Oryzias latipes: one gene and its partners. The protein of the gene in region 3 interacts with the protein of the main gene of each other region in a pairwise test. Links are inferred from orthologs where the notes say so. Each region holds a gene or a part of one and is shown on either strand. Other genes may lie near its edges.

Region 1 (3,500 bases), on a different chromosome or scaffold from region 3:
GTGCTGCCTGTCCCCAATTGGGCCAACTCTGAACAGCTTCATGAAAACCATGTCCAGGAATTTAAATACTCTGGAAAAGTGGAAAAACTCTTATGCATTACGCCACAATTAGAACCAAGCTCAAGGTCCGATTGTTGACGCATAAAACATAAAAGCGGGGGGGGGGGGGGGGGGGGGGGGGGATTAATAGGGCGACTCTGGAACAGAGAATCAAATTAATTCAGAGCAGAATAGTGACCAAAGTTCAGCAGGGGGTCAACAGCCCCATGGCTGCTATAAAACTTCTGCTAACCTGATATACATGAGAAAAAAAAATAGAAATGTATGATCTGACAGTTTTCATCTCATCACTAGGTATGAAAGCTGGTACTGATTAGGTGAAGTGGTGGTGAAGAGAAGATGGGACAATAAAAAACAAAAATTATCATTTAACTTGCTGTTTAGCATTCCAAGAAGCAGAGAAAGACTAAAAAGTGGGCAGCTCACCAGTGACCATTAAGCACTGACACGATTCTCTGTAAACCGTGTACAGCATGGAACATAGGAGTCGTTGTAATGCCTCTAGGGGCCGTTTACTGAACAGCAGACTGGTTGTTTCAAAAGGCTAATTCTGAGATTTAAGTTTACAATTTTAAGTTATTGTTTGATATTCAAAAGCCAAAAGTCAAAGCAACAAAAAGCTCAAAAATAAAGGGAACTTTAGAGACATCCCTTTTTTAGTGCAACATGATGATGAAAGACAGCACATTAAACACCAAAGATAAACTAGACAGCCCTTTTTTTTTCTTCTTCCAAAGTTGTATTTATCTCTCTGCTTCAGCTACATCTTTACTGAGCAAACATGGCAGAGGCACCAATACTACTAAATGCTGAGCTGTTCCCAGCATACAGAGGAAGTAATGTCCCACATACCTTTCATTTCTTCATCTTTTACTGGGCAATTGTTTCCCACAGCACAGAAACCCTAAGCTGATCAGAACTCACACCAACCGATTTAAACAAGGCGCTCAGGACAATCAGTCACGAGTGTAGCTGATAACATGCTTTTTTTAGTTTCTTGTAAAAAATAATAATAATACAAAACAAAAGAAAAGAGTTCATGCATTGATACTAAGGACAGTTTGCTCTTGAAGTCGATAATTCTTTAAGTGATACTTACCCATCAAAGTAAAATACAATAACTTAAGGGCTATCAAAATAACTGATTTGCTCTTTTCTGCTCAAAAATAGCAGATTTGTACAACTGTACAAGTACAAATGACCTCTCAATCCATGTATTACAAACTTAAAAATTCTAATCATACTTTGGCTATGATACAATTGCACAAGGCTTCTTTAGAAATGCATGCACTCATTGTTGCACAAAAATGTTTCTCCTGTCATCATGTTCGAGGTGATGGATGATGACCTATCTCCACTCAACGTCATAAAAACGTGTTTTCTGCAGCTGTCAGTCAGTCGCACTGCACCCAGCTGCTGGTTATTATGGGAGGTTTGAGAGTGAGTGGAGGTCCGAAGCACTGCGGGGAAGCAAAGGTCACATCTCGGGTCTTCTTAGGACAGTTCCCATCATCAGCAGCACGTCTTGCGAGACTCTGAAACCTGCCGTCCTAGTTTGATACTTTTCGCCGAGCTTCCCCCTGCTGCATCAACAACGGGAATGCGCTTGCCTGCAGGGACAAACATGCACTTTCAGGGTTTCAACTAGATTTTTCTTTTTTTTTTCAAATTTAAACTCTGGCTTTTAAGTTTTGTTCAATAGTTAAAATAAAACTTTGTATTTATTTTCTCTGTTCTTTATATCAATTATGTGCAGAGAGGTGCAAGAAATGTCTATACATGCAGAACAAAACACCCCCAAACCTCCATTTAAGCCTTTAGAATAAAAAAAAAGTGTATCCACTGAATCATATTTAGGTAATACAAATGTTATTTTATAAGAAGCAATACTTTGCATCAAAGTTTTAAAAAAGGAATCTGAGTAAATTCTTTCAATCTAGGAGTAACATCTGTGACTTGACATAAAAAGGTGACCTCTCTGTGCTGTTTCTGGGTTTTCTTCATTTCAAAGTCCTTCCTATCTCCTTTTATTTATTTTCAATTCAGACAGATAAAGAAGCCGGAATGCAGTTTTAAACCAAATTATGTGAATATTTCAAGCAAAAACAGAACTATTTGACACTAATAAAACCAGATTAAATGCTCCAGTGTACAACGCCATTAGCTTTTTGCTCCAAAAAGCATCAACCTGCGACTAACATGACTAAACTCATTTGCCTTAACATGCAGGCTATTTAACTGTCAAACAGCCATGAGAATAAATAGCAAGAACAAATCAATTTCATTATGATCTATTATTTAGGTGCTTTAAAAATGCACTACTAAAACGTTTTCTTCCTACCATTACCTTGACGGTAAGGTAAATCTGCTGATTCCAGCTGCTTAGAGTATTCAAAAACACACTCACTTATCTCTGTAAAGACCTCGTTGATGTTTATGGCATTCTTGGCACTGGTTTCCACAAAGATGGCATGGATGGACTCAGCATAGTCCTTGGCATCCTTTTCTGACACTTCCCTGTAAAACACACATCGAGGGCAATATTTTGAAAAATGTACAAAGGTTTCCCTGCCGGTGTGAAGTGGGGGATTTTACGTCGGTGTGGAATATAAACCTGGGAGACGGGTAATTGATGTGTGAGATAGTGATATAGCAACAAAAAACAGGAATCCACAGCATAACCTTACAAAATGTTTATCTTCACAACATGTTTCCATAAACACATATTTCTCAAGGAGTTATTGCTACGCTGCATGTTAGCATAGCTTATCATCACATGCTATAACCTCATCTGAGGCTTACCTGGCATCTGACAGGTCACATTTGTTGCCAGCAATGGCGACCACTATATTGGGAGGTCCGTGCTGGCGAAGCTCTTTGACCCAGTTCTTCAGTGTTTGGAAGGAGTCCTGGTACAGCGGGTAAACAATGAGCAGAAGTATCAACAGCATCTTCTGAGTACATATTTTTTGTAAAAGTACATTAGCAAATAACCTCTTTAGTGATGTCATATACAATGACGGCCGCTGCTGATCCTCTGTAGTACATCGGCGCCAGAGCACGAAACTTTTGGAAGATGAAGATGAGATGTTATTAGATAAACACTAAAAGAACAATAATAGTTCTGTATTCATTCTTCACCAGATTTTAACTTTGATTAAGGAGACGCCAGAAGCTACAATTGAAACTATACACGTCCTTTTTTTCCCTCATAGACATGAAATAAAAGTAAAACTTTCCTGTTTTAGGTCAATCAAAATTATTTCTATATGACACATGTCAGAATAATGAGACTAGCTTTTTTTAAAGACGATTTTTATGACTTTTATCATGACATTACTTTTCATTAGTATTTGGTACTATTGCCTTTAAACTGCAGTACTTGGGTCAAACGTCTTGGATATCCTTCCATAAGGCCCAGAACCGGCCCAGAACTGGTG
Region 2 (2,521 bases), on a different chromosome or scaffold from region 3:
CGACACAATCCAGAAGTCCTGCGGAGAGCGCGTCACGTGACCCCCAGGTAAACTCACCTATGTCTGCCAGCTGCTCCGCGCACGCGGCCATGCCCACCACCGGCTCGCGACGCTACCAACAGCTCGCGGACGGACACTCTTTCCTGGTTTATGACGTCATTACCCGACTTACAGGTGAATACCGGAGCAGCGTCACACTTCCGGACAGGGGGGAGGAGCGGTCGATCACTCGCGGTGTACCACGAAGCGCGCCGACCCGAACGAGCTCCAACACAACTCAGTGCGCGCGCACAACTTCGAGGAATCCGGATGTTTCCACGTCAGGAAAACTCCGCCCCCTGAATTAAAATACCCGGACGACACCTGCGCGCGCAAAGCGCCACAAGGTTGACCCGTCGGATGCGCGCAGGTCTGTCAAAGTCCGGACCGAAGCCCAGAGCGTTATGGCGACGCGCATGACGTCACGGAGGTTTTTCCCTGTAATAATTAAAGAATTAGGATCTTATTTACATACTATTTCCAGTAGCTTTAACAAAAAGGCCAAACATATTTATGAAAACTGTCTTTGAATATTTTCAATGCATAGTAATCTGTTTCTGTAATCTTTCTTTTGTAAAACATGAACCCTCCCCGAGGTTCTCGTTATGACTGTTGTTCCTGTCATACATGTTTGTTCTATTTGTTGTTTTCACCGGTTCCGGTGCTGCAGAACACGCCGGAGCCGTGCTGCCCCCAGGCAGGGGGCTTTAAGGCAGTAGAAAGCTCAGATGTTTAGTAAATGAAGAGATTTCCGTTTTTAAACTTTTATTCCTTCACTTTTGAATGAATATTTATTTTTTCTTGGTCCGTTTCTCATTAGAATTCTTCCATCAGATCTTTTCGGTCTCCTTCTGAGTCAAAGTCCCGGTTTCGTTTAGAACCGGGATTACAGATGCCCGGTAGGGGGCAGCAGAGAGCTTCAGACCCGGTTCTGACGTCGATCTGCTGACTCTTTTAGGAATATGAAACCAAAAATGTTTCACTAGAAACCAAAGTTCAGCTCAGATTTCAGTCGTTTTGCTGACAGTCATACATTTAGAATCTCCCAAAGGATCCGGATGTTTTCCTGAATTTAAACCTAAGAACCAGACCCCCTCCCTGCGGAGGATCGCTTCAGTCCACCTTAAAAACGCAACCTGGGCTAGTGGGCGGGGCATCGCAGTCTAACGAACCCTTCAGTTTCAGCTGATGATCAAACCATCCGCGGTGGGGGGGGGGGGGTGTCAGCTGAAGTCAAACTAATAAAGTTTTATTCAAAGCAGAGCTTTGGTTCCTCCTCACACCATAGTGGGTCAGGACCAGAATCAGAACCCGGATCTGGACCTTTAGTCGGTTCTCTAGAGAGTCAGAACTTGGGCTGATCCCGATCCGTTTGGTCATGTGACCTGGCCCGCTTCCCGGTGAGGTTCTTTGGGCTTTGGCCGGTTCTGGAGCAGTTTCCGAGGTCAGCTGCTGGGTGGCGTCAGAACCTCCCCCAGCACCGACTCGTGCACGCCGGCGGCCTGCAGGCTCTGCAGCAGCCTCCTCGCCGTGGCGCTCCTCCCTCCGGACCGTCTCCACAGAACCAGTCCGGACAGCGCCGCCGCCTGGGTGCTCAGACTGTGATCGGAGCGGCACCGGAACACGGCCTCTGCTGGCAGACCCAGATCCATCAGCATCGCCTCCCACTCGGCTCCGAGGCGGAATGACAGCCGGCACAGCTCCTGATCCGACAGAACCCTCTCCAGAACCGAGTCCGAGAGGCCACAGGCGTCTGCAAACAGAACCTTCCAGTCAGAACTCAGCAGAACATTTGCTCAATGCTTTACATTTCCTCTACACAGATGTGTCTAAAACCAGGTTGGTTCTGACACTGATGGGAATTAACCCCGCCCACCTAATGTTCCAAACACGCTGATTGGGCGGGTCAAAGTGAGAGTTGTGTAGGCTCCGCCCACTACAATCAGCAGCCTGTGGGCTCATGGTGAAGTGACTGTCCTGACCCGATTCAGGACTGATTCAAAGTCCAGTCCGTTCTCTGATGAAGAACCACGTCTCAGCCCGCCTCAGGAGGTTCCCGGGCTCGGATCATGTGACCCAGCTGGAGTCTCGTAGCTTCGTGTTTGCAGGCGGGGACGGTGCTTTGGTACAGTGTGCGGTCCAGAGGGTTCTGACTGCAGTCTGTTCATCTGCAAATGCACTTAATAACAATCCTAACAATAATAAAAGTTTAGAAGATAATCTCGCTCTGTGTCGGCGCTCCGCTTGTTTACAACGGACCGCTGGATTTCTTCTTCTATGGTGTGACGGTGTGGCAGCGTCAGCTGGCGGTGCTTTCCACCCTGTTAGTTATTTTATGTGTTCTTTATTACAAGAAGCCATCACTAAACCGCTCCACGCGGGGCCACATCAGCACATGACACCCTCCAACTCTCCCTTTTCACTTCCTGTGATGCTCCCTTTTGAATGATAAGCCCCTCCTATTGGGCGTTGCCCTTCATTA
Region 3 (2,590 bases):
TGTGAACAACAACAGAAACACCTAACTGACTCTGTGCTTTCAGCAGCAACCAACCTTTCCAGTCTCCTTCAAACCACGAGCCCGTCTGATGGGTGGACTCACCTTTTCCCCTTCTGTGTTGCTCTCAAAGACGAAAGCACTAAACGACGGCTCTCCTTCGCCGTTCCCATCACTCCAGTCTATTCCTTCAACCACAAATCCCATCAGCCTCCCATTTTCTTGGTGAGCTGCAAACTGACACACTTCCTCTAGTTGAAACTGTTGGTGGAAAAAACAAAACATCCAGATGTTATTTGTATTATAAATGCAGGATTATTATTATAAATCCATGAAATATGCTTAGCAACTTCATCTTTTTCTACTTACACTTATTCTTGTGACCTGAGTCTGTGGGTCAATCAGTCTGTAAAGAATAAAAAAAAGTCTAATTATTTAAGTTATAAACCCATTTTAAAAGAGAGCTAAATAAAAAATTAATATACAGCTTTTTAAATGCAATGAAAAAACTAACTACATGATTAAGAAACTGGAAAAAAAGCAAAAAACAACCAAAAAAAAAACACAAAAATGTTATTTTGTGATTAGATTCATAAATAAAGAACTATTATTTGATTGTTTTGGTAAATCACAGTAGGTAAAGTAGGTAAGCCTATAGTTCACATGCATAGTACATAAGAAAACACATGTGAATTATTCCTATAATAATAAAGTAACATACATGCACAAAAAAATGAGGAATTTCTACCTCAGGCTGCTGCTCGTGATCATGAGATGGGACTCTGTGGTCCTGAAGATGTTGTGGATGGCTCGGGCAGCCAGCACCTGCCTCATGGCCTCGTAGATCACCTCCCGGTTGTTGCCACAGCGAACGGCCATGGAACCCAGAAAACGAACAGCGAAAACCTGCTGCAGAAGGGAGTCTGCCAAGAAGAAAAGGAGATCCTGCAAACTCTGCTGAAAGCTCCAGCAAATGATCGGACAATTTCAAGGGTCATGCAAATAATCTAAACACAAGCTCATGTGGATAGTTTGAGGACAACTAAAACAAAGGGAAGGCAGATGTTCAGAAAGACCAAACATCTACATGACACACGGTAAAGGGGTTCTAAATTGGGTTCATCCTCAGTCTAACTGTACTAAAGGTAAATGTGGAGCTGTCTCCAATAGCTGAACTAAAGCCCTCCTGAAATGGAGTCATGCATCAAGCCACAAACCCACAACAAACCAACAAGTGCAAAAAAAAAAAAAAAAGGCTGAAAGGTGCTGCAGGAAAAGACGGCTCAGGATTCGACCTGACTGCATAAGGGACTTTTCAAAAAGATTCGGATCTAAGTCCTCTAGCTAAACACAGCAAAGCATTCAATTAGTGTTACTTTCTATGGATAACCTGAAATGGGTGAGAAGTAGTATTACGGATGTTTTAAGGCAGTAATAGCCCTCACTACTACACACCTTATGCACTTCAACAGACATGAATATGTTTACAGTTTTGTTTCTTGTTTAAACTCTCAACTGTCATTGAAAAATAAGTCTAATATAGAGTAAAAACGAAGATCTGATCGCGATTTAAGATTTATGTAGATTTGGAAAGCTGGAGACATGGCACAGAGGAGACGGACCAGGTCTATGGTCAATCAGGACTCAAACCATACATGCCCTTTAAAAAAATCTATCTATCCATCCATATGTGTTTTTTATATATATATATATATGTGTTTTTTATATATATATATATATATATATATATATATATATATATATATATATATATATATATATATATATATATATATATATATATATATATATATATATATATATATCCCTTGTGCTATAGTAGATGATCCCACCCTTACATTGACGTGTTCACCATACCATGAAAAAGGTGGAAAGATTTCAAATATATATATATATATATATATATATATATATATATATATATATATATATATATATATATATATATATATATATATATATATATATATAAAAATCGTACTACGTGATTTCTGAATGTTTCTTCAGTTTCTGTCTCTCACTGTGGAAATGCACCTATGATGAAAATTTTAGACCCCTCCATGTTTTCTAAGTGGGAGAAAATCACAGGGTGATCAAATACTTATTGACCTCACTGCATATGCTGATGATATTTCATCATTTTTGACAAACCTGGCAAAATCAACAAAAAAATAATAGAAAACATTATTTCTCTGGATACAAGATCAATTTTTCAAAATTAGAAACTATGATATAAAGTTTGAAATGTCTAAGTTTCTTTGCCCTTTCCCTTTGAAGTGGGCTTCTACAGGATTTGTATGTTTAGGAATATTCATCACGCCTGACTTCCATCCCATGTTCACAGCTAACTTCAATCCACTTTTTAATCAAATCAACTTCGATCTTGAACCCGGAGCAGTCTTCCTGTATCCTGGCTGGGTAAAATTTCAGTTCTAAAAATAAATGTTCTTCCTCGTCTACGTTATCCAATGAGACTCCTATCCTTTTCACAATCAAAACAGTTTGTAAAATAAATGGGTGCTTTAGTTCTTTTATTTAGCATAAACAATAATAAGCAGAAGGCCTTGACTTA

Evidence for each region. The genes of interacting proteins can lie anywhere in the genome.
Region 1: the proteins of appl2 (region 3) and rab22a interact in binary tests that used the Homo sapiens proteins (3 or more experiments, as listed by UniProt). The two-hybrid records come from large-scale screens. The link is inferred for Oryzias latipes from reciprocal best matches to the Homo sapiens genes APPL2 and RAB22A.
Region 2: the proteins of appl2 (region 3) and death domain-containing protein CRADD-like interact in binary tests that used the Homo sapiens proteins (3 or more experiments, as listed by UniProt). The two-hybrid records come from large-scale screens. The link is inferred for Oryzias latipes from reciprocal best matches to the Homo sapiens genes APPL2 and CRADD.

The regions. Positions count from the first base shown.
Region 1 is NC_019863.2:13,832,768-13,836,267, forward strand, and holds part of rab22a (ras-related protein Rab-22A), read right to left. Parts: intron 3,127-3,500; coding exon 3,055-3,126; intron 2,970-3,054; coding exon 2,863-2,969; intron 2,578-2,862; coding exon 2,468-2,577; intron 1,671-2,467; coding exon 1,573-1,670; 3' UTR 1-1,572. UniProt on the Homo sapiens protein: Plays a role in endocytosis and intracellular protein transport. Mediates trafficking of TF from early endosomes to recycling endosomes. Required for NGF-mediated endocytosis of NTRK1, and subsequent neurite outgrowth.
Region 2 is NC_019881.2:23,806,697-23,809,217, forward strand, and holds the end of death domain-containing protein CRADD-like, read right to left. Parts: intron 1,793-2,521; coding exon 1,485-1,792; 3' UTR 501-1,484; downstream 1-500. Other genes in the region: arhgap8 (rho GTPase-activating protein 8), read right to left, coding at 58-91. UniProt on the Homo sapiens protein: Adapter protein that associates with PIDD1 and the caspase CASP2 to form the PIDDosome, a complex that activates CASP2 and triggers apoptosis.
Region 3 is NC_019864.2:12,221,596-12,224,185, forward strand, and holds part of appl2 (DCC-interacting protein 13-beta), read right to left. Parts: intron 921-2,590; coding exon 746-920; intron 404-745; coding exon 367-403; intron 259-366; coding exon 103-258; intron 1-102. UniProt on the Homo sapiens protein: Multifunctional adapter protein that binds to various membrane receptors, nuclear factors and signaling proteins to regulate many processes, such as cell proliferation, immune response, endosomal trafficking and cell metabolism.